Anolis sagrei: one gene and its partners. The protein of the gene in region 2 purifies or fractionates together with the protein of the main gene of each other region. This does not show direct contact. Links are inferred from orthologs where the notes say so. Each region holds a gene or a part of one and is shown on either strand. Other genes may lie near its edges. The genes, in order: HMMR, BACH1 and MAFF.

Region 1 (7,301 bases), on a different chromosome or scaffold from region 2:
CTGCCAGGCACTGTTTCAGGATCCAGGTGCCTTCCTTGGAATTTGGTGGAAAGGAGTAGTAGAATTGAGTGTCCTCTGCGTACAGATGGCATTGAACACCAAACCTCTGGATGACCTCACCCAGTGGTTTCATGTAGATATTTAAAAGCATGGGAGATAGAATATAACCTTGTGGGACCCCACAAGTCAATGGCCAGTTGTCTGAGCAGGTGTCCCCCAGCTTCACCAACTGGATGCAATCCTCCAAGAAGGTACGGAGCCACTGCAAAGTAATGCCCCCCAAGACCCTTTCCGGAGAGTTGCCCTAGAAGGATAACATGGTAAATGGTATCAAAAGCCACTGAGATGTCCAGGAGAATCATCAAGAGCACACTCCTCCTGGCTAGCTCTCTGTGGAGGTCATCCACCAAGGCGGCCAAAGCCGTCTCCGTACCATAGCCAGGCCTAAAACCGGACTGCGATGAATCAAGATAATCAGTATCACCCAAGAATTCCTGGAGCCGAGAAGCCGTCACTCACTCTAGAACTTTGCCCAGGAAGGGAAGATTAGAAATTATGGTATATACGCGTTACATGTTAACAACATTTGGAAATATTTATCCCTTTTGGGACATGTTCTAGCCACCTGTGTATATTATCTTTAGATCCACCATTTCATTGTATTCTTATCCACCCGAGGAAGAATTATTATTTTTGAGAACTTGATGTCCACTTCATTGTACTCTTCACATTTCTCCACCTGAGGAAGACGTTAGTCGAAACCGGTCTGGAAATCTTCTACATGGATATCCTCTTACAAGGGACTGGAAACTCCACTCAAGAGTATCTTTCTCTAAAGTAAGGGATCTTATGCCCTTAAGAGAAGTCTGCTTTACAGCAAGAAAGACTCTACTCTTGTTACTGATGTAAAATCACTGTGTACGAACCCACACGATCTCTTCGATCATCTGGAGAGGCCCTGCTCACACTCCCACCTCCTTCGCAGGCATGATTGGTAGGGACGAGGGAGAGGGCCTTCTCGGTGGTGGTCGTTCGACTCTGGAATTCACTCTTTAAGGACATTAGACATGCCCCAGCGCTGGCTGTGTTTAGGAGGAGCCTGAAAACATGGTTGTTCCAGTGTGCCTTCCAGAATAAGGAAAACTCTAAGCAATATGTCCTCAAATGCACTTTAATATTGATTTAGGATTGTCTGCGCGCCCTCAACTTTCTTTGAAAACCCTATCCTAGTTTACCCTACCTTGTTAATGCCCAGCATTTTAAATTTTAATTATTACATTTGACCCGGCCATAGGTTTTTAAATGCTGTATGTTATTGTTATTGTTTATTGTGTATTTTTTGTTTTTGAGTTTTATTTTAACTGTTTTGTATTGATTATTTGTTATTGCCTTTGTTTATTGATGTGCTGTGGGCTTTGCCTCATGTAAGCCACACTGAGTCCCTTGGGGAGATGGTAGCGGGGTACAAATAGTATTATTATTATTATTATTATTATTATATTATAAACAAGTTTTTTGTTCATGGTATATTGCTCAATGCTGCATCATATAAGTTGGTTATACATTTAATATTGTATTATATAAGCTGGAAAAAAACATTTTCCTTTGTGATTTATGTACTACGACTTGTAGAAGATTTGTGTTTGTTAAGATTAGAAATTAGCCAGTAGTTATTCAAAACCATGGATTCTAGGGACTTCTTCAACATAGGTCTCACTATTGCCTTTTTTAGGCATGGTGGTATTTTGGAAAATGGTAACAGTGCTCCAGGCAGTCATGCTGACCTTGGAGGGACAATGCTGCCTTTTCGGCTTAGAAATGGAGATGAGCACCAACCCCCAGAGTTGGACACAACACTGGGATTTACTTTCAAGACCAAAATCTATTATTTACAGTGGCAAGGGAAAATAGTGTCACAAACATATTACCTTACCCCTTCAAAGGGCTGGGCACAGAGTTTCAAATAATGACGGCTTGATGCTTTTCCCAGCGCACTGACTGCCCCAAGCCTGTCATTTGCAAGATGGCAAGGTCAGCTATTCTCAAAATGGCATACAGCTGAATCATCCAACAACAGCAGTGGAGTTAGTAAATAATAATTCATTAAACCGTTTGTAACTTTGTTGTGTAATTGTAAGAGGGTGAAATATACTTGCTTTGAAACACCCGGCATATTACTTTTACTTTTAAGCTTTTTTGGTATTTATATTTAAATTATTGTATGTTTACTTTTAAGCTTTTTTATCGTATTTCTATTTGAATTACTTCTAAGCTTTTTATTGTATTTATATTTACATTATAAAGCAAATAAAATAAATAAATAAATAAATAAATTATTATACCATGTTTATTATTGTATGCTTGAATTGATATGTTAATTGTTTAAACTGATATGTTTTGTTTATTATTATATGTGTAATGTGGCATTGTATGCCATGGATTGTAAGCCGCCCTGAGTCCCCTACTGAGGTGAGATGGGCGGGGTATAAATGTAGAATAATAATAATATCTGTATCTATTTCTGTATTAGGAGGAAAGCAGGGTAAGACTCACCCCTCAAGCGAGGCCACTATTTCAGGCAGTGTTATATGGCTTGGGCGGGACACAAACCTACAGAGACCGCAGGTGGGTCTGCTACACTGTAGCATTAATGCAGTTTGACACCACTTGAACGGCCATGGGCTCAATGCTACGGAACCCTGGGAGTTATGGTTGCACAAGGCCTTCACGCTTCTCTGCCAAAGAGTGCTGGTGCCTTTCCATAGCGTTCAAGTGATGTTAAACTGACTTAATTTTGCAGCGTAGACGCACCCGGCAGCAACGTCTTGCCCAGCGTTTCCCCTTCTGAAGGCGAGGGAACAGAAGCCCCGCTGGCTTACCGGGAGCCTCGTTGAAGCGGCGGAGCGGGGCCCTGGGGAAGGACATGCCGGGGCCAGGCCAGCCAGGTGGGGCCCGCGGAGCAGAGAGAACGGATTTCAAAAAGCCACACTGCCGCCTCCTTCTCTTAAGTGGGCCCAACCAACCAATCCGAAAGCTCAAGCGGCGGCACGCTCCGCAAATCAGAGGTTAGCCCTGGAGCATGCGCAATAGGGAACTGCGGAAGTGAGGCGGTACCCTCTTCTCCAGCTTGGCGTGAGGTTTCGGGGCGTGCCGTGTGTTGTTTTTGCCTAGAAGAGGGAGGGAGTAGGGTGCCGCCTTGAGGGGTGTCCAATCAACCTCCACCTGCTTAGAAATTAATTTTAACAAGAACCCTCATTTAACCCTTGCCACGCGTTGCTGTGGCCCAGTCTGTTGATATGGAAAATAAAGTAATGAGAAAGTGTTGGTTTCTAAAATATGTATTTTCTTTCTGCTTGTGGGTAAACAATATTTCTTGCTGTTTCTTTGTCAGTGTTGATGTGGAGATTGTCTGGTTTGCCTACTCTGGAATATGCAAATTGTCCTTCTTTAGGGGTCCCTTTCAAATCTATACAGTCTCTGTGTGTGTGAACCATATCTATCAATCTATCTCTCTATATCTATGGCTGTATGGCTCTTTGTCAGGAGGGCTTTGATTATGTTTTCTTTCCCTGGTGAAGGGAGTTGGACTGCATGGCCTTAAGTATTTTCTGTTGGTCATGGGGGTTCTGTGTGGAATGTTTGCCCCAAATCTGTGGGTTCAGAATGCTCTTTGATTGTGGGTGAACTATAAATCCCAGCAACTACAGCTCCCAAATGTCAATGTTATTTTCCCCAAACTCCGTCAGTGTTCACATTTGGGCATCTTGAGTATTCGTGCCAAGTTTGGTCTAGATTCATCATTGTTTGAGTCCACAGTGCTCTCTGGATATAGGTGAACTGCAACTCCGAAACTCAAGGTCCATGCCACCAAACCCTTCCAATGTTTTCTGTTGGTCATGGGAGTGTGCCGCGTTTAGTTCAATGCTATCGTTGGTGAAGTTTAGAAAGCTCTTTGATTGTAGCAGGCATGTAGAAGGGGGGGGGGGGGGGCTTGAGGGGCTTCAGCCTGAAATTCTCATGGTGGTTCACGAAAAGGCCTTACTGCTGCATTATTTAAACTGTTATGTTTATTCATATCATGATCTGATCACCATACTCAATATATCCCATATGCATGGAAGTATTGGGGTAATGATACAAAAGGTTTGCTAGGCTAGACCCTCTTTCACTCAGAATCACACCCCCCCCCCCTGAAACTCAGCCCCCCCCAACCCCCCCTGAAAAAAATCAGCCCCCCCCCCCAAACGAAATCCTGGCTATGGGCCTGGATTGTAGGTTAACTATAAATTGACAAAATCAATTTTTTAAGTGATGGTCACTCCTTGGGTGAGTAGGTGTCTTGTGGCTAAATTTCGCAGCACTTTGTCCAGTGTTTTTTGCATTATGTTAATCCCACAAACGAACATTACATTTTTATTTATATAAATATACTAGCTGTACTTGCCACGCGTTGTTGTGAACAATCTTCCCTCCCTCTTTCTCTCCTTTCTCTTTCTCTCCTTCCTTCCCTTTTTTTCTTTTTCTCTCTCCTTCCTTCCTTCTCTTCCTCTTCCCTTCTCCCTTTCTTCCTTCTCTACCTATTCTTGGACTGCAACTCCCAGCAGTCCTCTTGATCGATTGATCTATGTTATCTAATCTATCTATCTGGAGGATTGCCGGGAGTTTCATAGGAAATTGGAAATATGTAGGGATTGGGATACTCTCAAAGAGATCCAAGGAGAAGAAAGCTTGCATCTTGAAAGCAGTGCATTTGGATCATCCTCCTCTCCTAAAGGGCCTGGTCTAGGAGATGCTGGAAGCTCGGAGCAGTTGTCCAAAATAGAGTGTGGATATGCTATTGTTTTGTTTGCCAGGGGAGTCATTTTTGCATATTCACTGTAGTGTCTATTTGCTTTTTTGGCTTTTTAAGTCCCTTCCGCTGTGTTTTTCAGTATTTTTATGAGTGATGGTCACTAATTGGAATGATAGGCGTATTGTGTCCAAATTTGGTGTCAATTCATCCGGTGGTTTTTGCATTATGTCAATCCCACAAACTAACATTACATTTTTATTTATATAGATATATATATTTTCAAATGAGGGCTTGTGTTAAAATGTATGTCTAAGCAGGTCGAGTTTGCTTTGACACTCCTCAAGACACACACACACACACTGTTCGGAAGCTTCAAATGGCCAAAGACTGGCAGCCAAGTTACTAACAGGAGCGGTGCCCAGGGAACACACTACTCCTCTGTTGTGTCAGCTCCACTGTATAGTTTATAATTCACGTTACAATGTAATATTACCTTTAGCCACTAGGGCTGGGCAACCACGGAAAAATTTGTTTCTAAACTCGATTCGTTTTTAGGGGGTTTTTGCGTTTCGATTTTTAAATTAATTCCGAAATTTTCCTTAATTTTTTTTTTATATTTATGAAATTTCGTAAATTACGAAATAATTACGAAACGATTTTGAAACGAATACGAATCGATTCGTTAATGGCGGACGCGACTGCGCAATACGCTAAAAAACCTCCATATGGGACAGGGGGAACTTTTGAAGCTTTCCTCTCCCTCTGTTGTTGACTGTTGGTGTGATATTTATAATTTTTTTCCACTGATTAAACAAACAACAGCTATAAAACTTGCCCCAGACATGTGGAAATAATAACGAAACAATTTCGAAAAGATTTCGAAACGAATACGAAACGAATACGAAGCAATTACGAAACGAATTGAAAAATTCGTTTCGTTTTTTAGATGCTCCTGAATGGTTCAAAATCGCTTCGTTATAAAAAAACGAATTTTTAACGAATTACGAAATTACAAAACGAAACCGCCCAGCCCTATTAGCCACTGTCTATGTCTCCTTAGGATCCACCCCTCCAGAAGACTGTTGGTGAATTTCTCACCTCAAAAGCTGAGCTTTTTGTGATAATTTGAGTAAGTGGAGTGTCTGTATATATTCTTACAAACTTGATATAACAAATTGTTCAATTGTATGTGTGTATTCATGATATGTGTTGTTTGTAGACCCAACCGCCTGACGAAGGCTCTTGTGAGTCAATACCGGTCGCAGGTTGGAGTCGATTCATGTGACTTCTGGAGTCTACTCATATGTAATAAAAAACAGGACATTTACTCACACAAAGACTTTGTTTTATACTTCAAGAGAAGAACCAGTTGTTTCTACTTAATGTGAATGTGACAGCGAATTGTGCCATTCTGTAACCCGCCTTAAGTTGCCATATGGCTGAGAAAGACGGGCTATAAATACTGTAAATAAATAAATAAATAAATATTCATTCAATGGGTTCATGACTGACACCTCTGTTTTGGGGGTGGATCTACAGTACAGGATTAAATGTAGTGTGACACCACTAAAGTGTCACTCTAACTACCATGGCTCAACCACATGGAGTCCCCGGATTTGGAATTTTGCAAGGCACTCCGTGCCAGAGAAGGCTAAAGACCTTGTAAAACCAACCAGAACCCAACTGGCAACCAACACCCAGAGGACCTTTTATCAGCCACCCCAAGGCGAAGTGCAAAGTGTTTGGTTTTGACCTTTAAAGCCCTACATGGTTTTGGTCCAGGTTATTAAAGGATTGCCTTCTCACATGCAACCCACCCCACACACTTTAGTCTTCTGGGGGGCATCTGCTTCAGCCTGCCAGGACCCGACTGGCAACCACCACTCAGAGAACTTTTTCATCAGCCGCACCAAAGACTATGGACAACCTGCAGCTAGAGCTCTGACAGCTAGATCGGCTGTCAGAATTTAAAAACCATGTAGACCTATCTCTTCAGGCAGGCCTACACAGACAGTCTTTAAGCATGACTTTTAAGTGTCCTATTTGATCTGCTTTGTGTATTTTAATATGTATTTTGTACAGATAAGTTTTGGTGTGTAGCTTTTATGGAGGTACATTTAGTGTGTGTATTTTGTAGTGTATTTTGTAGAGAGGGCGGTAAGAAATAAAATTATTATTATTATTATTATCATTATTAAAACTACAGCTCCCATATGGCTATAGTATTGAGCCATGGCAGTTAAAAGTGGTGGGTCAAACATTAGTTTTACACTGCAGGACTAAGATAAGGCAACGGGAAAACCCATTTGGCTAAATTTTGATAAGGAACTCCCCTTATAGGGTTGCCATAAGTTGGAAATGATTTCAAGGCACACCATAAAAATGCAATAATACATTTTAAATGTCCTATTTGTTCCACAGTTTTGAACCATGGTGGTGAACTATATTGATTCTCAGTGTTGATGGAGGTTTTCATGGCCAGAATCACTGGGTTGCTATGAGTTTTCCA
Region 2 (7,498 bases):
TATTTCATCAGAGTGTTTGTTAATCAAGCTGGCCAATTGCAACATTGACACTTGCCTCAAACAGATAAGAGTTCTTTCTCCCATCCTGGACATTTAACAGATATATAAACCCCACTTGCCAACGCTATGTATAATTTGAGAGAGGATGGGATAGATGGCGGTTGAAGCACGGAAACTAATGGAAATACCTTATTTTTTCCTCTATTCAGTTAGAAAATAAAAATATACAAAACCACTTCCGATATTTAGAAATATAACTGGCATAAACCCAGAGCTAAGTTTTGGATCCAACTGAGAATATTTTGGTTTTTCACGGAAAGGGGTTAGAAATAAATACACTAATTACAGCAGAATCAAATGTCACTCCAAGAAAAACAGCTGAATTATTAATATTGCTCCTAATTAGCTCAAGCATATTTGTTTTCTACCAGTAGCAGCGTATTTCTGTCAAAGCAATATAAACTGATAAATTCTCACTAATGGAAACTGGAAGAAAGCCAGAGAAGCACAAGCTTCGTTTTCTACGCCAAATTTTGTGAATGAAACCAATCCTGGTAATGGAAAGCTTTATGAGAAATTTGGGAAATAATAATAATAATAATAATAATAATAATAATAATTTCTAGACCATCCTCTCTCCTCAAAGGGCAGTTTATATACATATAAAAAGGCAAATATTCAATGCCATAATTTAAAATCACACATCATCAGGAATGCAAAATGGACAGTAATAAACTAATTACCAGAAAATAATTAAGGTTAAAGTAATACGAAATACAGCTACTTAAATAAAACTTAAATAAAACATAATTACACTAATATAATATAATTTCACAAAAACAGAGGTTGAGGTTTCTGTTGGAAACTAGGCAAGTGGAGTGTATATGTCTGTGGAAAGTTCTGGGTGGGAGAAAGAACTCTTGTCGGCTTGAGGCAAGTGTTAATGTTTGGGCTCTGCCTCTCTTCATGATCGCATCTCCACCTATGAACCTGCACGGGCTAGAAGATCTGCCAGGGCCTTCTCAGTGGTGGCCCCCTGACTTTGGAACTCCCTCCCCAAAGAGATTAGGCAAGCTCCCACACTGTCCTCCTTCCATAGGGACCTCAAAACCTGGCTGGTTTTTGAGAATGATTAGTCTGTAGGCTCTGCACTTTATCCACTTCCCTGGCCCATGATACTCTATTGCATTAGCCCTTGCCCAGGCGTTTCATAGTGGGCCATGCCCATGTTGCAATTCTGGCCCAATGGTATTTTGAACTTGTCTGATAGAGTTATAAAGGTTTTTAAATTTTTGTGTTTGTTTTAGCAGAATTTTACGTTTGTTTTATGATGTTTATTTTAATTTGTTTGTATGGTTTTCCTTTCTGGCAAATGAATGTTTTGCCTTATGTTGGAAACCACCCTGAGTCCTCTTGGGGAGATAAGGTGGTATATAAATGAAGCTTTATTATTTTTATTATTTATTTATGACATTTATATATTATTATGTTATTATTATATTATATTTTATTATATTTATTTACTACATTTATAGGCCACCTTTCTCAGCCCTAAGGCGGGTTACAGATTGGCAACCATTCGATGCCATACAGTCATAAAAATACGATTAAAACAATTAGCATAATCATATAAAAACCATTACAATCATTAAATCATATAGTCACCAGTGTTGTCCTGTTAAAATCATTTTCCAATAGCATCTTCTAGCTATTCCATGTTCAGGTGGTTGTATGATAGCTGGGTCCCCCTGCTACAAGCATTACGCTGTTTCTGCAACACAGAATGGAACACGTTACTGAGACCGGGGGGGGGGGGGGGGGCAGTGAGAGACTGAGGTAATGTAAGCCAGGTCAGACACAGATAATAACAGATAATACTTAACTCTAACACTAACCCCTAACCCTAAAATGTAACCCTTACCCTCACCCTAACCCTAATCCCAACCCTTACCCTCCCCTCCTTACTATCCTTCCTTCAAATGCAACTGAAATGGCCACATTTCTGTATACGAACCCACACGATCTCTTCGATCATCTGGAGAGGCCCTGATCACGCTCCCGCCTCTTTCGCAGGAGCGATTGGTGGGGCCGAGGGAAAGGGCCTTCTCGGTGGTGGCCCCCCGACTCTGGAACTCACTTCCCAGAGACATCAGACATGCCCCATCTCTGGCAGTCTTTAGGAGGAGCTTGAAAATGTGGTTGTTCCAGTGTGCCTTCCCAGAATAAGGAAAACCCTCAGCATTATGTCCTCAAAATGCACTTTACTACTGCTTTAGGATTGACTGCATTCCCTCATTCTCTCTAAAAATCCTATTTATTTATTTATTTATTTATTTGATGCACTTATTAACCGCCATTCTCAGCCCTTACGGGCGACTCATGGCGGTGTACAGTACACATAAAAAGACAGTTACAAAGGCCAGTATCAACAACATATAACTATACGACAAATACAAACTACATAAAAATCCGCTTCGTCTCTTAGTAGAATCATAGCCAGTCTCATCTTCCTTATACCATTCCAGTTCTCATTACCGTAATGTTGTTGCTTACCACTTAATTAAATGCCCTCTCGAACAGCCAGGTCTTAAGGCTTTTTCGAAAGGACATGAGGGAGGGCGCCTGTCTGATGTGTGCCGGGAGAGTGTTCCACAGCCGGGGGGCCACCACCGAGAAGGCCCTCTCCCTCGTCCCCGCCAGCCGTGCCTGTGATGCAGGCGGGATCGAGAGAAGGGCCTCCCCAGACGATCTCAAGGTCCTCGTGGGCTCGTAGGCCAAGATGCGGTCAGAAAGGTATTTCTATCCCAATTATATCCTACCTGGTTCACATAAGCACTATTTTTTTAATTTAAATTTATCACATTTGGCCCGGCCTTTGGTTTTAAATGTTTATATGTTACTGTTGATTGCTTATTGTCTATTTTGTTTATGTGATTATGATTTATATTGCATTGATTGTTTATTGATGTTTATTTTATTGATGTTCTGTTTATTGATGTATTGCGGGCTTGGCCTCATGTAAGTCGCACCAAGTCCCTTGGGGAGATGGTAGCGGGGTACAAATAAAGTGTTATTATTATATTATAAAGTATATTCCCGCCCTCAGTGTCTCGCTCTCCCCACTCTCACTCCGGTTCCTCTCTCCACCATGCAATCCCTTCCCTTTGCGGCATCTGTGTAGCGCTCATAGCAGGGGGACCCAGCTATCATACAATCACCCATGTTCATTATTCATAGTTTCATGTTAACTATTCCACTGCATTTCCAAAAGCTTGCTTGAAGAGCCAAGTGTGTGTGTGTATAGATAGATAGATAGATGGATAGATAATGTTCGTTCGTGGGATTAACATAACTCAAAAACCACTGGATGCATTGACACCAAATTTGGGCACAATACACTTATGAGGCCAACGAGTGACCATCACTCATAAAAACACTGGAAAACATAGCGGAAGCAACTTAAAAGCCAAAAAAAGCAAAAATATGCAATAGCACATGCACACAAACGACTCCCCAGCAAACAAAACATATAATAGCATATCCACACCCTCTTCTGGATTACAGCTCCCAGCATCCCCTTGACCAGACCCTTTAGGAGAGGAGGATGATCCAAATGCACTAATTCCAAGGTGCAAGCTTTCTTCTCCTTACATTTCTTCGAGAGCATCCCAATCCCTGCATATCTCCAATTTCCTATTCCTGGACTGCAACTCCCAGCAATCCTCCAGATAGATTACATAGAGATAGGTAGGTGGCTAGATGGATCAGGAGGACTGCTGGGAGTTGCAGTCCAAGAATAGGTAGAGAAGGAAGAAAGGGGAGAAAGAGAAAAGGAAGGAAAAGGTGGGAGGAAGGGAGGGAGGAAGGAGAGAAGGAATGAGAGAAAAAAAGGGGAAAGAAAGAGGGAAGGAAAGAAGAGGAAGAGGGAGGGAAGGTTGGTCACAGCAACGTGTGGCGGGTACAGCTAGTATGTATGTGTATGTATATATATATATATATATATATACAAACATTTATATATTATGTTATTAATATATTATAATTATTATATTATTATGTTGTAATTGGCGACCATGATTAGCATTTGATGACCTTGCAGCTTCAAAGCCTGGCTGATCGTTTTGATGTGTTTGTACAGCCCGACACTGAGGCGCGGGAAACGCCTCATGCTGGGCAAACCTCCCTTTGGGCGCGAGAACCTTGAATCAAGCGCGCGCCACTGGCGAAGGGACGCTCGCGGGGAGACCTTCGGAGCAATGACGACGCGCCGCTCTATTACCTGAGAAAACGTGCGGGGGGGGGGGGGGGTAAGAAGAAGAGAGCGCGAGAGCGACGCATGCGCATCAAAACAGAAGGGGAAGGCGCCGCGTAGGGAGGAAAGAGGGAGAAAGTGGACGTCATCGGAATCCGGCGCCCAATGAGCGCGCAGGGGGCGGAGGCGGTTCTGAGGTGGTCACCTGACTGTGGTGGGTCGGGTGTTCGCGGCGCTGGCAGGATCCGCGGTCGAGCTGGCCCTGAGGGAAGGAGGTTGCATGGCCGGCGTTCCCGGGAAGGGCCGCGCGCTTATGGGCCCGAGGCGGGTGAGTGGGCGGGCGAGCGAAGAGGCCTCTCGCGCCGTGGGAGCCGGGTCTTGAGGGAGCAGGAGCGGGGAGGGAGGAGGGGAGGGGAGGAGAGTCCCATTGCGCATGCGCACATCCCAGGACTGGAGTCCCTGAGCCTGCGCTTGTTGCCTCCTTGCTTTGGGAAGGGAAGTCCCAGTCCAGGACTGGGGTGAAAGGGGGCGTATATTGGGCACGATAATGAGGACGTGTGGGGTGGTTTTCGTTGTGGGATATCCAAGGGTGTATCTACAGTGAAGAATTAATGGCTTCACTGCCATGGCTCATGGAAAATATAGATAGCTTTACCAGGTTTTTAGCCTTCTCTGACCAAGGGCCCCTCCACACAGCCAGAACATCAAGGCAGAATAACCCACAACATCTGCTTTGAACTGGGTTATCTGAGTCCACACTGCCATGTATATATATATATATATATATATAAATATAATATATTGTATATATATGTAATATTTATAATGTAGTACAATGTAATACTAATAATATATGATATTATAATTATATATTTCATATTGCATGTAATATTACTAATAATATTACAATGTAATGGTATAGTACAATATAGTGATATATAATACTGATACTGTACTATGCTAATAATATAATATATTGTGCATATATATATATATATATATATATAAAACTTGTAAGCCGCTCTGAGTCCTCTTTGGGGTTAGAAGAGCAGCATATAAATGTCGTAAATAAATAAATACATAAATTCCAGTTCAAACCAGATATTATGGGTTATTCCGCCTTGATATCCTTGGTTATAGGGCTGTGTGGAAGGGCCCCAAGAGTCCTGCTGCCCCAACAAACTACAGATCCCATAATTCCACAGCCATGGCAGTTAAAAGGATAATTGAACCTCATTAGAGCTACAATAGATACTCCCTACACGCTAAAGTTATCCCTTAAAGCAGGCCTGGGCAAACTTTGGCCCTCGAGGTGTTTGGACTTCAACTCCCATAATTCCTAATAGCCTGAGGCCCTTTCCTTTTCCCTCTCAGCTGCTTAAGAGTCCAAAACACCTGGAGAGCTCAAGTTTGCCCTGGCCTGCCTTAAAGGTTCTGGGGAATGAGTAATAATAATTACTCATTTCACAATCTGCCTTCCTTCCAAAGCCAATGTAAACAGCTGAAAAATCAGTCATTTTTAAAAATAATTACAATTTTAAAAATTGTTAAATTATCACCAGTTTATTATGACTAATAGAGTTTCAGTGCTAGTCCAGTCTGTTGTAGCATCTCGTTGTAGGGCTAGATTGCTATTAAAGAGACTTGTTTGGGGGAATCGACGGCCTTTGAGGTTATAGCAGCAAATGCAGCAAAGATTTTAAGGACTCATAAGATTCTTTTGGTGTATAATTTTGTGCCAGCTGGAAAAGTTTATGCCAAATAACACACACAGTGACATAAGACTCATTGCTGATATTGGTTCTGAAAAGAGTTTTGTGAGAAACAGATGTTGTTGTGGTAAACCTACAGGAAATCCTGTTGCCTGAGTGGTAGTTCAACCTACTTTTTAAAAATGAGATCTTGCTTATGTCGTTTTGCTTATATTACCTTGACATCTATTATAGTATCATTAACAGCATTATTTGCATGAAGTCATGTATGAAACGTGGAGTTTTAAAAGCTTTTTCACAAGTGTTGTCGAAATCTTTCATGGCTGGAATCACTGGGTTGCTGTGAGTTTTCTAGGCAGTATGGCCATGTTCCAAAAGCATTCTCTCCTGATGTTTCACCCACATCACCTCATCACACTAGAGAATGAATTCACTTTAAATCTGGTTGCTGCCTCCTGCAGAATTCTGGGGTTTAGGGAGGAGCCTTTAACAGCTTCACTAAACTACAAACCCCAGAATTCTGTAGGAGGCAGAAACCGGTTTTTATGTGGATTCATTTGCTAGTGTGATGACGTAGTATGACAGGCATCCTCAGAGGTTGTGAAGTTTGTTAGAAACAAGGCAAGTGGGTATATGGCTGTGGAATGCCCTTCCTAGGGATATTAGATCGGCCCCCTCCCTCTTAACATTTCGCAAAAAAGTTTAAACCTGGCTTTTTGAGCAGGCATTTGCAAACTCAATATAACAGGCAACGATAGACCAAGGTTGTAAGTTTATGAGGAAAAATGGCAAAATAACATCCCAAGCAATCCATTGTGCCCCTTTCCCTCATTCTGCCTTCTCTATTTTTCTATCCAGAGTGACAGAAAGTTCTAGCTCTGTCAAAATAGCTAAATAATCAACTGAATTTCTGATCCCTTACTCCCTTGATGTGAACTTTTGCCTCTCTGGATGCTGCCAAATTATACTGCAAGCTAAACATCTCCCATTTCAAGGCAAATGGATAAAATTGGAAATAAAGCTTGAATTTAAAATCTAATGAAAAAAATTTAGGCTTGTCTCAACTTTAGTTTTATGACTACAATGAAAACTTCAAAGGTTTTGTAATAAAGGATACCATTTGATTGCTGTAGTTTTGTTTGCTATAATGGTAACTTTATTGGCATAGTCTGATATATAAAAAGTAAAGTGATGTGTGTAACGCCCAGCTCTTCCTCATTGGGACATGCATTGTGTCTTATAGAGCATACAGTATATCTTAAACCCTGATCTGCTACACCTCCATTGTCTTTCTTCACAAGGCCATTAAATTCATTAGAACATATTCAGCTTGCTACCAGTGAGTAGGTTTTTAATTCTAGCAGAAGATTCTGTTCTGCTGTGAGGTCTGAAAGTTTTGAACATTTTTGAAAGACTCATAAGGATCAAGATGCTTTGGAAGTGCCTCTCAGGTTTAAGAAAAGAAATAGTTATATAGATAGAGATTAGAGTGTACACTTTGGAAGTGCTTAGGCTATTTCTAAAAGTTCTGTGT
Region 3 (8,100 bases), on a different chromosome or scaffold from region 2:
CTACCAAATAAATAAATAAATAATCCTGGTTCAAAGCAGAAAATGTGGGATTTTATTCAGCTGTGTGGAAGGGTCCTAAGTCCACATTCAGACAATGTGGAATTTCCTGCTTTGATAGTCTGGGATATAGGGCTGTGTGGAAGGGCCGTCGATCTTCTCTGCCAAGGAGTTTGACACCACCTTAAGTTCTATGGATTCCTGGAAGTCGTAGTTTGAGTGAAGCAGCAGCACTGATCGGCGGAGGTGACTAAAGACCTTGCCCAGCTACAACTCCCAAGACTCCCAAGTCCATAGCATTGAGCCAAGGCAGTTAAAGTAGTATCAAACTGCATTAATTTGACAGAGTAGGTGTACCACTAGATTGCCCTTAACACACGAAATACCCCTAAAGGCACCAGATTGGATTGTACAAAGTTTGATCTGGAAGCGATAGTCTAAAAGTGGCAGGCTAAAATGCCAGCACGCCAATGCGCTAAATCAAGTAATAGATTTCTAAGATCTACAGAGACACTCGCAAGAACACCTCAGCAAGCAAGAATCCAAAAGTGGCAGCCTAAAACCCAGAACCTCAATCCATGGCTGATACCAAATGAAAGACTCCTCCCTGGGCACATGGAAGACTGGGCGACTTGGAAGGTGCTGAACAGATTGTGCTCCAGTACCATGACATGCAGAGCCAACCTTAAGAAATTAGGCCACAAAGCGGAGTCCACAACATGCAAGTGTGGAAGGGGCAAACCTACTACAATGCAACTTGAGCCCTGCCACATGCACAATGGAGGACCATCTTATAGCAACACCAGCTACTGGTCAAAGGACATTTAATATAATGCCAAGTTTTTAAAATTTGTGTTTTTTAAAATACATTACAACTGTACCCTTGGTTCACTCTAGATACAATAAAAAATATCAGATTGGATCTGATCTTAGAAGCTAATCAGGGCCAGCCCTGGATAGTATTTGCATGGGAGACCACCAACAAGTACCAGTTGCTATGGGCTATATTTCAGAGGAAGGAACTGGCAAAACCGTCCCTGAATATTGCTTTCCTAAGAAAAATAGGCAACTTGAACACGGAAACACAATATACGTCAGCCATCTGTTTACACCTGTATCAGCCTCGTTCTTTTTTTTAAAAAACTTGTGTTTACAAGTGGCACGACTATTTTAATCCTAATAACCATAGTCATTAGGGCTCAGATTATAGCTTCTGTTTTTAATGCACCTGCCTCAGGCAGCAGGTAAAGCTCAGCAGGGCTGTAACTGTGGCTCTTTTTAGACCAGCTAGTTAAGCTACTACTCATTTCCACACTGCAGTCCCATTTGAGAAGGCATGTTGCTATTGTGTAAGAGGGAAGCTGAGCTTTGAGGATATATATATATATATATATATATATATATATATATATATACACACACACACACACACACACACACACACACACTACCTGGCCTGCTTAGTATCAGTCAAGAGAACCAGCTAGGCCAGTTTCAAACCAGGTATTTTCTAGGGCTGTCCAGACCTGGGTGCAAAAGTATGGGAGACTAGATGTCTACCAAGATTGCCACTGATGCCATTCTTGAATCTAAATAGTGGACTGTTGCTCAAGGAGTCTCTGAGAACTATATTGGGGTACATCTACACTGTATAATTAATCCACTTTGACAACACTTTAAATGTTATGGAGCACTAGGAGTTGTAGTTTTACGTGGTCTTTCAGCCTTTCCTGAGGAATAGCGCTGGAGCTTCACCAAACTACAAAACCCAGGATTCCACAGCATTGAATCATGGCAAGTAAAGTGGGGTCAAACTGCATTAATTCTATAGGTAGATCAGACATAGGCAAACTTGGGCCCTCCAGGTGTTTTGGACTTCAACTCCCACATTTCCTAACAGACTACTGGCTGTTAGGAATTGTGGGAGTTGAAGTCCAAAACACCTGAAGGGCCCACGTTTGCCCATGTCTAGTTTAGATGCACCCTAATATGTCCTTGGACACTTTGTGTCACCTGTAGATTTCTGGCAACCCCATGCATTTTATAGGATTTTCCTAAGCAAGGAATACTTGGAGGTGGCTTTGTTAGTTTCCTCCTCAGACATATCATCTACAACCCTAAAGGTGCCGGATCCCATCTGATCTTGGAAGCTAAGCAGGCTTAGTCCTGGTTAGTACTTGGATGGGAGACCATTAACTAATACTAGGTGCTGTATGCGATATTTCAGGAAGGAAGTGGCAAAACCATCTCTGAGTATTCCTTGCCTAAGAAAAGTTCATGAAAGTGATGGGATTGCCCACACATAATCTGGGACATAAATATGAAAAGTAAATAAATACATGCACTGTGAATGACGTCTTTATTTTGATGATGGTAGTTATGTGTCCTACTTTATGGAAGACAATGAATACTCTTCCCTTTGAAGGTGCTCTTTATTTTACGGGTGTGGAACGATTGGCCCTGGAGGTGTTTGGGACTACAGTGCCTATCATCCTTATTGCTTTGCACGGTGGTTAGAGGTTTTGGGACCTGGAATCCAAAACATCTAGGATATGTTGAATATATATATATATATATATATATATGACACACACAAGAGTGTCTTTATACTACAGAGCAGGCATGGGCAAACTTCGGCCCTCCGGGTGTTTTGGACCAGCTGTAAGGAATTGTGGGAGTTGAAGTCCAACACATCTGGACTTCAACATTTTTGAAAAGTTTGATATATATTAATTGAGATATATATGTGTGAATTTGCAATTGTGTTTGTAACTATAACTGTATTTGTAATTGAAACCAAAGAAGAAAGAAAAAATGTGAAGAAATATTGTAACTGGTTTTGTAACAAATGATTTTGAAAATGTAAATATTGCAAACATTGTAAATACTGCAAAATTAAGTATGTCTCAATTGTAATTGTTAGTAAATGTGTTTGTAGTACATATTTATTATAATAAAATTACGTGTGTGTGTGTGTGTGGATAAAAATACTTATTTCCAAAACACCTGGAGGGCCGAAGTTTGTCCATGCCTGCTATAGAGCTAATGCAGGTAGACACCACTTAACTATCAGAGCTCAATGCTATGGAGTCCTGGGATTTGGTGACATTATTTTGCAGAGAAGGCTAAAGGCCTTGTAAAGTAGTGTCAGGCTGCATTAATTCTACAGAGCAGATGCAGTCCAGCTACAAGGTGTGCATTTGTTAGCCAGGGGCAGCCAGCAGAGCCCCGAAATTGCGCACCGGCAACTAACATCTGGACAGCAAGTACATAAGTCACCTACTCACCATTTCTCCCCACTGTGGTCCACCTATGTAAATATTTATGCTTTTGAATGTGCAAATTTTATGCAAATATGCAGTTTCTTTCGCCCTTCCTTTGATGTACTGTTTACATGCCACTTCAATCTTGACAATATAATTCATATACCAAGTTCTTGGGAACAGCAAGAACATGGGACTTAAACTTCCTTTTCCTTATTGCTTATCAAAGCTTGGGCATGTAAATGTTCCAGAAGAGCAACATCCACATGCCATTTTGGGTCAGTGCCCAGTAACCAGAATTACATGCCTAGAACTTACATTAAACATGCCTTTTATTTATATTATGTGTGTCATTTTGAACTATGGATGCATCTCCATTGTAGAATTAATACAGTTTGACACCACTTTAACTGCCATGGTTCAATGCTACGGAATCCTGAGAAATGTAGTTTCACAAGGGCCTTAGGCTTCTCTACTGAAGAGTTTGGTGACTCACCAAACTACGTTTTTAAACTGTTGTTGCAAGTACAGCAGTTTAAGATTGAAGGTGCATCCAGGGGCGGCTCAACCCATTATGCAAAGTAAGCATTTGCAGCATAGCTGATTTTGCCCAGGGGCGCTCTTGAGGTGCTCTTGGGGGAAAATAGACCTTGACATATGCGAGTTGTAGTTACTGGGATGTATAGTTCACCTACAATCAAAGAGCATTCTGAACTCCACCAATGATGGAATTGAACCAAATATGGCACACAGAACTCCCACGACGAACAGAAAATATATATCAGTGATTGGTTGGGGGGGGGGGGGGGGGCAAAATACTGTTTGCTTCCTGTTGAAAATTACCTAGGGCCGTCTCTGGGTGCATCTACACTGTAGAATCATAGAATCAAAGAGTTGGAAGAGACCTCAAGGGCCATCCAGTCCAACCCCCTGCCAAGAAGCAGGAATATTGCATTCAAATCACCCCTGACAGATGGCCATCCAGCCTCTGCTTAAAAGCTTCCAAAGAAGGAGCCTCCACCACACTCCGGGGCAGAGAGTTCCACTGCTGAACGGCTCTCACAGTCAGGAAGTTCTTCCTAATGTTCAGATGGAATCTCCTCTCTTGTAGTTTGAAGCCATTGTTCCGCGTCCTAGTCTCCAAGGAAGCAGAAAACAAGCTTGCTCCCTCCTCCCTGTGGCTTCCTCTCACATATTTATACATGGCTATCATATCCCCTCTCAGCCTTCTCTTCTTCAGGCTAAACGTGCCCAGCTCCTTAAGCTGTAGAATTAACCCAATTTGTCACCACTTTAACAACCATGCCTCAATGCTACAAAAGCATGGAAGCTGTAGTTTTACAAGGTTTTAAGCTGTCTCTGCCAAAAAAGTGCCATTCCTTTACCAAGCTACAATCCTCATGAGCCATAGCGATTGAAGTAGTGTCAAACTGTCCACACTGCCTTATATCCCAGTTCAAAGCAGATAATGTGGGATTTTATTCAGTTGTGTGGATGGTGCTGAAGATGGGAAGCAATACCAGCCCCAGCCGCACAACCTCGAGGTGCGTGTCCCTTTAAGAACCCCCATGCCCGGCTCCAAGATGGCGCCTGCCTTTGCCCTCTGCTCCGCCCGTGCCCTTCACTAAGATGGGGAGGGAGGGGAAAGAATGATGTCATCGCATGACTGTGTTTTTATGAATGAAAAGAATCCTGTGAGTGAGTAATTCCAGGAAACTCATATTACAACTCAGCAGATCGCTCAGCGCGCAGCCCAGCTCAGCCCTTTCTCGTCGCGGGGAAAACATCCACTTCGCGATTTTTGGGGTTTTTTGGTTGTTATTTATTTACAGAAACAAACCAGGAGAGCCCAGAAGGGGGAAAAGGAGGCAGAGGAGGGCAACGAGGAAGGAGGAGGAGGACAAGTCAACAAAAGAAGTGAGTAGATTGGTTTGTCACTCTGGAAGGGAAGGAAAGTTACAGCAGGAGGGACTTTTAACCCCAATGCCTTTTGCTAGACCATGAGGAGAGCAAGAGAGAGCCTGGAAAATATCTAAAAATAATATTTCTGCCCTTTGGTTGGATCAGGATGGCAGAGAGAGGCGAGAAAATGTCTTGTGTTTTGAGGAGTGGCTGGGGGTGGTTTCCTTCCCTTGTTCCAATCCGGGGCGTTTTGAAATAAGATGTATTTATTTAGATTGTTGTTGCTTATTGTTGTTTCCTTGGATCTTCCCAAAATCCACTCGGTTCCCTTTCCCTCCAGCCTTTCCCCACTGGTGTCTCGAGGGTGCTGCATTCACAAACAAACATAAAAATAGAGCAGGAAATCGCATAATAACAGAGGAGTTACTCATGGCTCCTGTTCACCATGTGGGTGCACGTGTTGAGGCCTGGGTCACATGGAGTCCTAGCTGGCTCCAGTTTCAAACTGGGGTTTAATGGGGGGGCTTATAAGGTTAGCGGCTGAGGGGGGAAAGGAAAGGGCCTGAGGCTGTGAGGAATGGTGGGAGTTGGAGTCCAAAACACCGTTTGCCCATGCCTGGTCTAAAGCAGTGGTTCTCAATCTGTGGGTCCCCAGATGTTTTGGCCTTCAACTCCCAGAAATCCCAGCCAGTTTACAGGCTGTTAGGATTTCTGGGAGTTGAAGGCCAAAACATCTGGGGACCCACAGGTTGAGAACCACTGGTCTAAAGGATTCTCAGACGAGCATCTGTCAGGAGGGCTTTGATTATGGCATTTGGGTTTCCCTTCCTTCCCTCTCTTGGGTTCTGACATCCATCCCTCCTTTAATGGGAGGGGGAACCCAATAGGGAAATGCCTTCACACAGGATCTATTTCTGCCCAAAGAATGGATCTATATCAGGCCCAAACAAATTTGGGCCCTCCAGGTGTTTTGGACTACCAACTCCCACTATTCCTAACAGCCTCAGACCCCATTATTTTCCCCTTCAGCCGCTTAAGAATGTCAGAATGTTGAGACTGGCCAATCAGAAACCATATACAAATTAGTAGGTCGAAATAGCTCATGCATGAGCCAACTTGGGCCCTCCAGGTGTTTTGGACTACAACTCCCACTATTCCTAACAGACTCAGACCCCTTTATTTTCCCCTTCAGCCGCTTAAGAATGTCAGAATGTTGAGACTGGCCAATCAGAAACTATATACAAATTAGTAGGTCGAGGTAGCTTATGCATGGGTCAACTTGGGTCCTCAAGGTGTTTTGGACTACAACTTCCAGCAATCCTAGCAGCCTCAGAACACTTTATTTTCCCCTTCAGCTGCTTAAAAATGTTAGAATTTTGAGACTGGCCAATCAGAAACCATATGCAAATTAGTAGGTCGAGATAGCACATACATAGGCCAACTTGGGCCCTCCAGGTGTTTTGGACTCCAACTCCCACCATTCCTAACAGCTTCAGATCCCTTTATTTCATAAAGAAAGTATTTATTATTATTATTATTATTATTATTATTATTTTACTGACACAAAATCACAGTATGGCACAGCAAACGAGATCTATATGCTGGATTTCGTATCACAAAATCACAAGTCAAACTTCCCAAGCGTCTAGGACTGTGTGATGTATATTATTATTATTATTATTATTATTATTACATAACATTAAGCCATGGCAGATAAAAAGGTATCAAACTGCACTAATTGTACAATATATAGATGCATCCTCAGTTAACAGGTGCTTACGGGGATTGATAGAAGCCGGATAAATGGATTCTCTAGTTGCTTGGGATTTGCTATTATAAATAAAAATAATACGTACTATACCATAAACCCTTGTCTTGACCTGATATTATTAATGAAATGCAGCAATTTAAAGCAAATTTATCTCAACTAAAAATAAAATTTCAGGCAAAAATATATACATATTAAATTTATTATTTCTTTGATTTTTTTGCCAGTTGTTTAAGATCTCTGGTTACTTGAATTTTGGTTAACCGAGAGTCTACTGTGTTTTAAAAAGCCACACTTAATGTCTAAAGTCCTGGGGGTCCAAATTTTTCTCTCTGGAAGCAAATTGGATGGGCCACTAGTTTCTTTGTTTTGGAGTCATAACTAATTGTCATAGTTGGGGTTCAGGAAGGAATCCAGCATGATATTGTGGTTTAGTTGGAGACCAGGATTCAAATCCCTAGTAGCGTGTAGAAACCCATTTTGTTGAGTCTTAGGGCGCCTCTACACTGTAGAATTAATGCAGTTTGACACTACATTAACTGCCATGGTGAAATGCTATGGAATCCTGGGACTTGTAGCTACACACAGCCAACTTCTGTTGTGCATCCCAGGGTCTGTAGTTTGAGCTATGACAGTTAACAAGGTGTGAAACTGCATTGACGCCAGTATAGATTTTTATTTATTGTATCAGAAGCAGATTGATGGTACACTGTGTAGAAAAACCACAAAGTTAAAAATTTGGCATCATACTAAATGTCCTTTGACCAGAAACTGGTCACTTGGAGTGCCTCTGGTGTCGCTGTGAGAAGGTCCTCCATTGTGCATGTGGCAGGGCTCAGGTTGCATTGTAGTAGGTGGTCTGTGCTTTGCTCTTCTCCACACTCGCATGTCACGGACTCCACGTTGTAGCCCCATTTTTTAAGGTGAGCTCTGCATCTCGTGGTGCCAGAGCGAGATGCAGCCTCAACAGGACGGAGACAGCAAACCCTTCTAAACCAATCTTGCCAATAAAACTGTGATAGGGTGCCTTTGGGTCACTATAAATTGCAAATGACTAGAAGGCATGAACAGCAACAACAAAAATAATCCCTTTAGGCCAAAACGTGCTGGAAATCTTGGAGCATTTGGTTGTTTTTGCCTGTTTCATGTGTAATACATGTATCACCTGTC

The links.
Region 1: the proteins of BACH1 (region 2) and HMMR purify together in Homo sapiens (affinity purification with mass spectrometry; 6 studies listed by BioGRID and IntAct, counting the BioPlex papers as one, with this or other methods). This does not show direct contact. The link is inferred for Anolis sagrei from reciprocal best matches to the Homo sapiens genes BACH1 and HMMR.
Region 3: the proteins of BACH1 (region 2) and MAFF purify together in Homo sapiens (affinity purification with mass spectrometry; 3 studies listed by BioGRID and IntAct, counting the BioPlex papers as one, with this or other methods). This does not show direct contact. The link is inferred for Anolis sagrei from reciprocal best matches to the Homo sapiens genes BACH1 and MAFF.

What each region holds. Positions count from the first base shown.
Region 1 is NC_090022.1:109,445,684-109,452,984, forward strand, and holds the start of HMMR (hyaluronan mediated motility receptor), read right to left. Parts: upstream 3,018-7,301; 5' UTR 2,926-3,017; coding exon 2,880-2,925; intron 669-2,879; exon of another isoform or gene 654-668; coding exon of another isoform or gene 626-653; intron 1-625. UniProt on the Homo sapiens protein: Receptor for hyaluronic acid (HA). Involved in cell motility. When hyaluronan binds to HMMR, the phosphorylation of a number of proteins, including PTK2/FAK1 occurs.
Region 2 is NC_090023.1:68,169,042-68,176,539, forward strand, and holds the start of BACH1 (transcription regulator protein BACH1), read left to right. Parts: upstream 1-4,431; 5' UTR 4,432-4,580; intron 4,581-7,498. UniProt on the Homo sapiens protein: Transcriptional regulator that acts as a repressor or activator, depending on the context. Binds to NF-E2 DNA binding sites. Plays important roles in coordinating transcription activation and repression by MAFK.
Region 3 is NC_090025.1:164,302,932-164,311,031, reverse strand, and holds the start of MAFF (transcription factor MafF), read left to right. Parts: upstream 1-5,093; 5' UTR 5,094-5,177; intron 5,178-8,100. UniProt on the Homo sapiens protein: Since they lack a putative transactivation domain, the small Mafs behave as transcriptional repressors when they dimerize among themselves.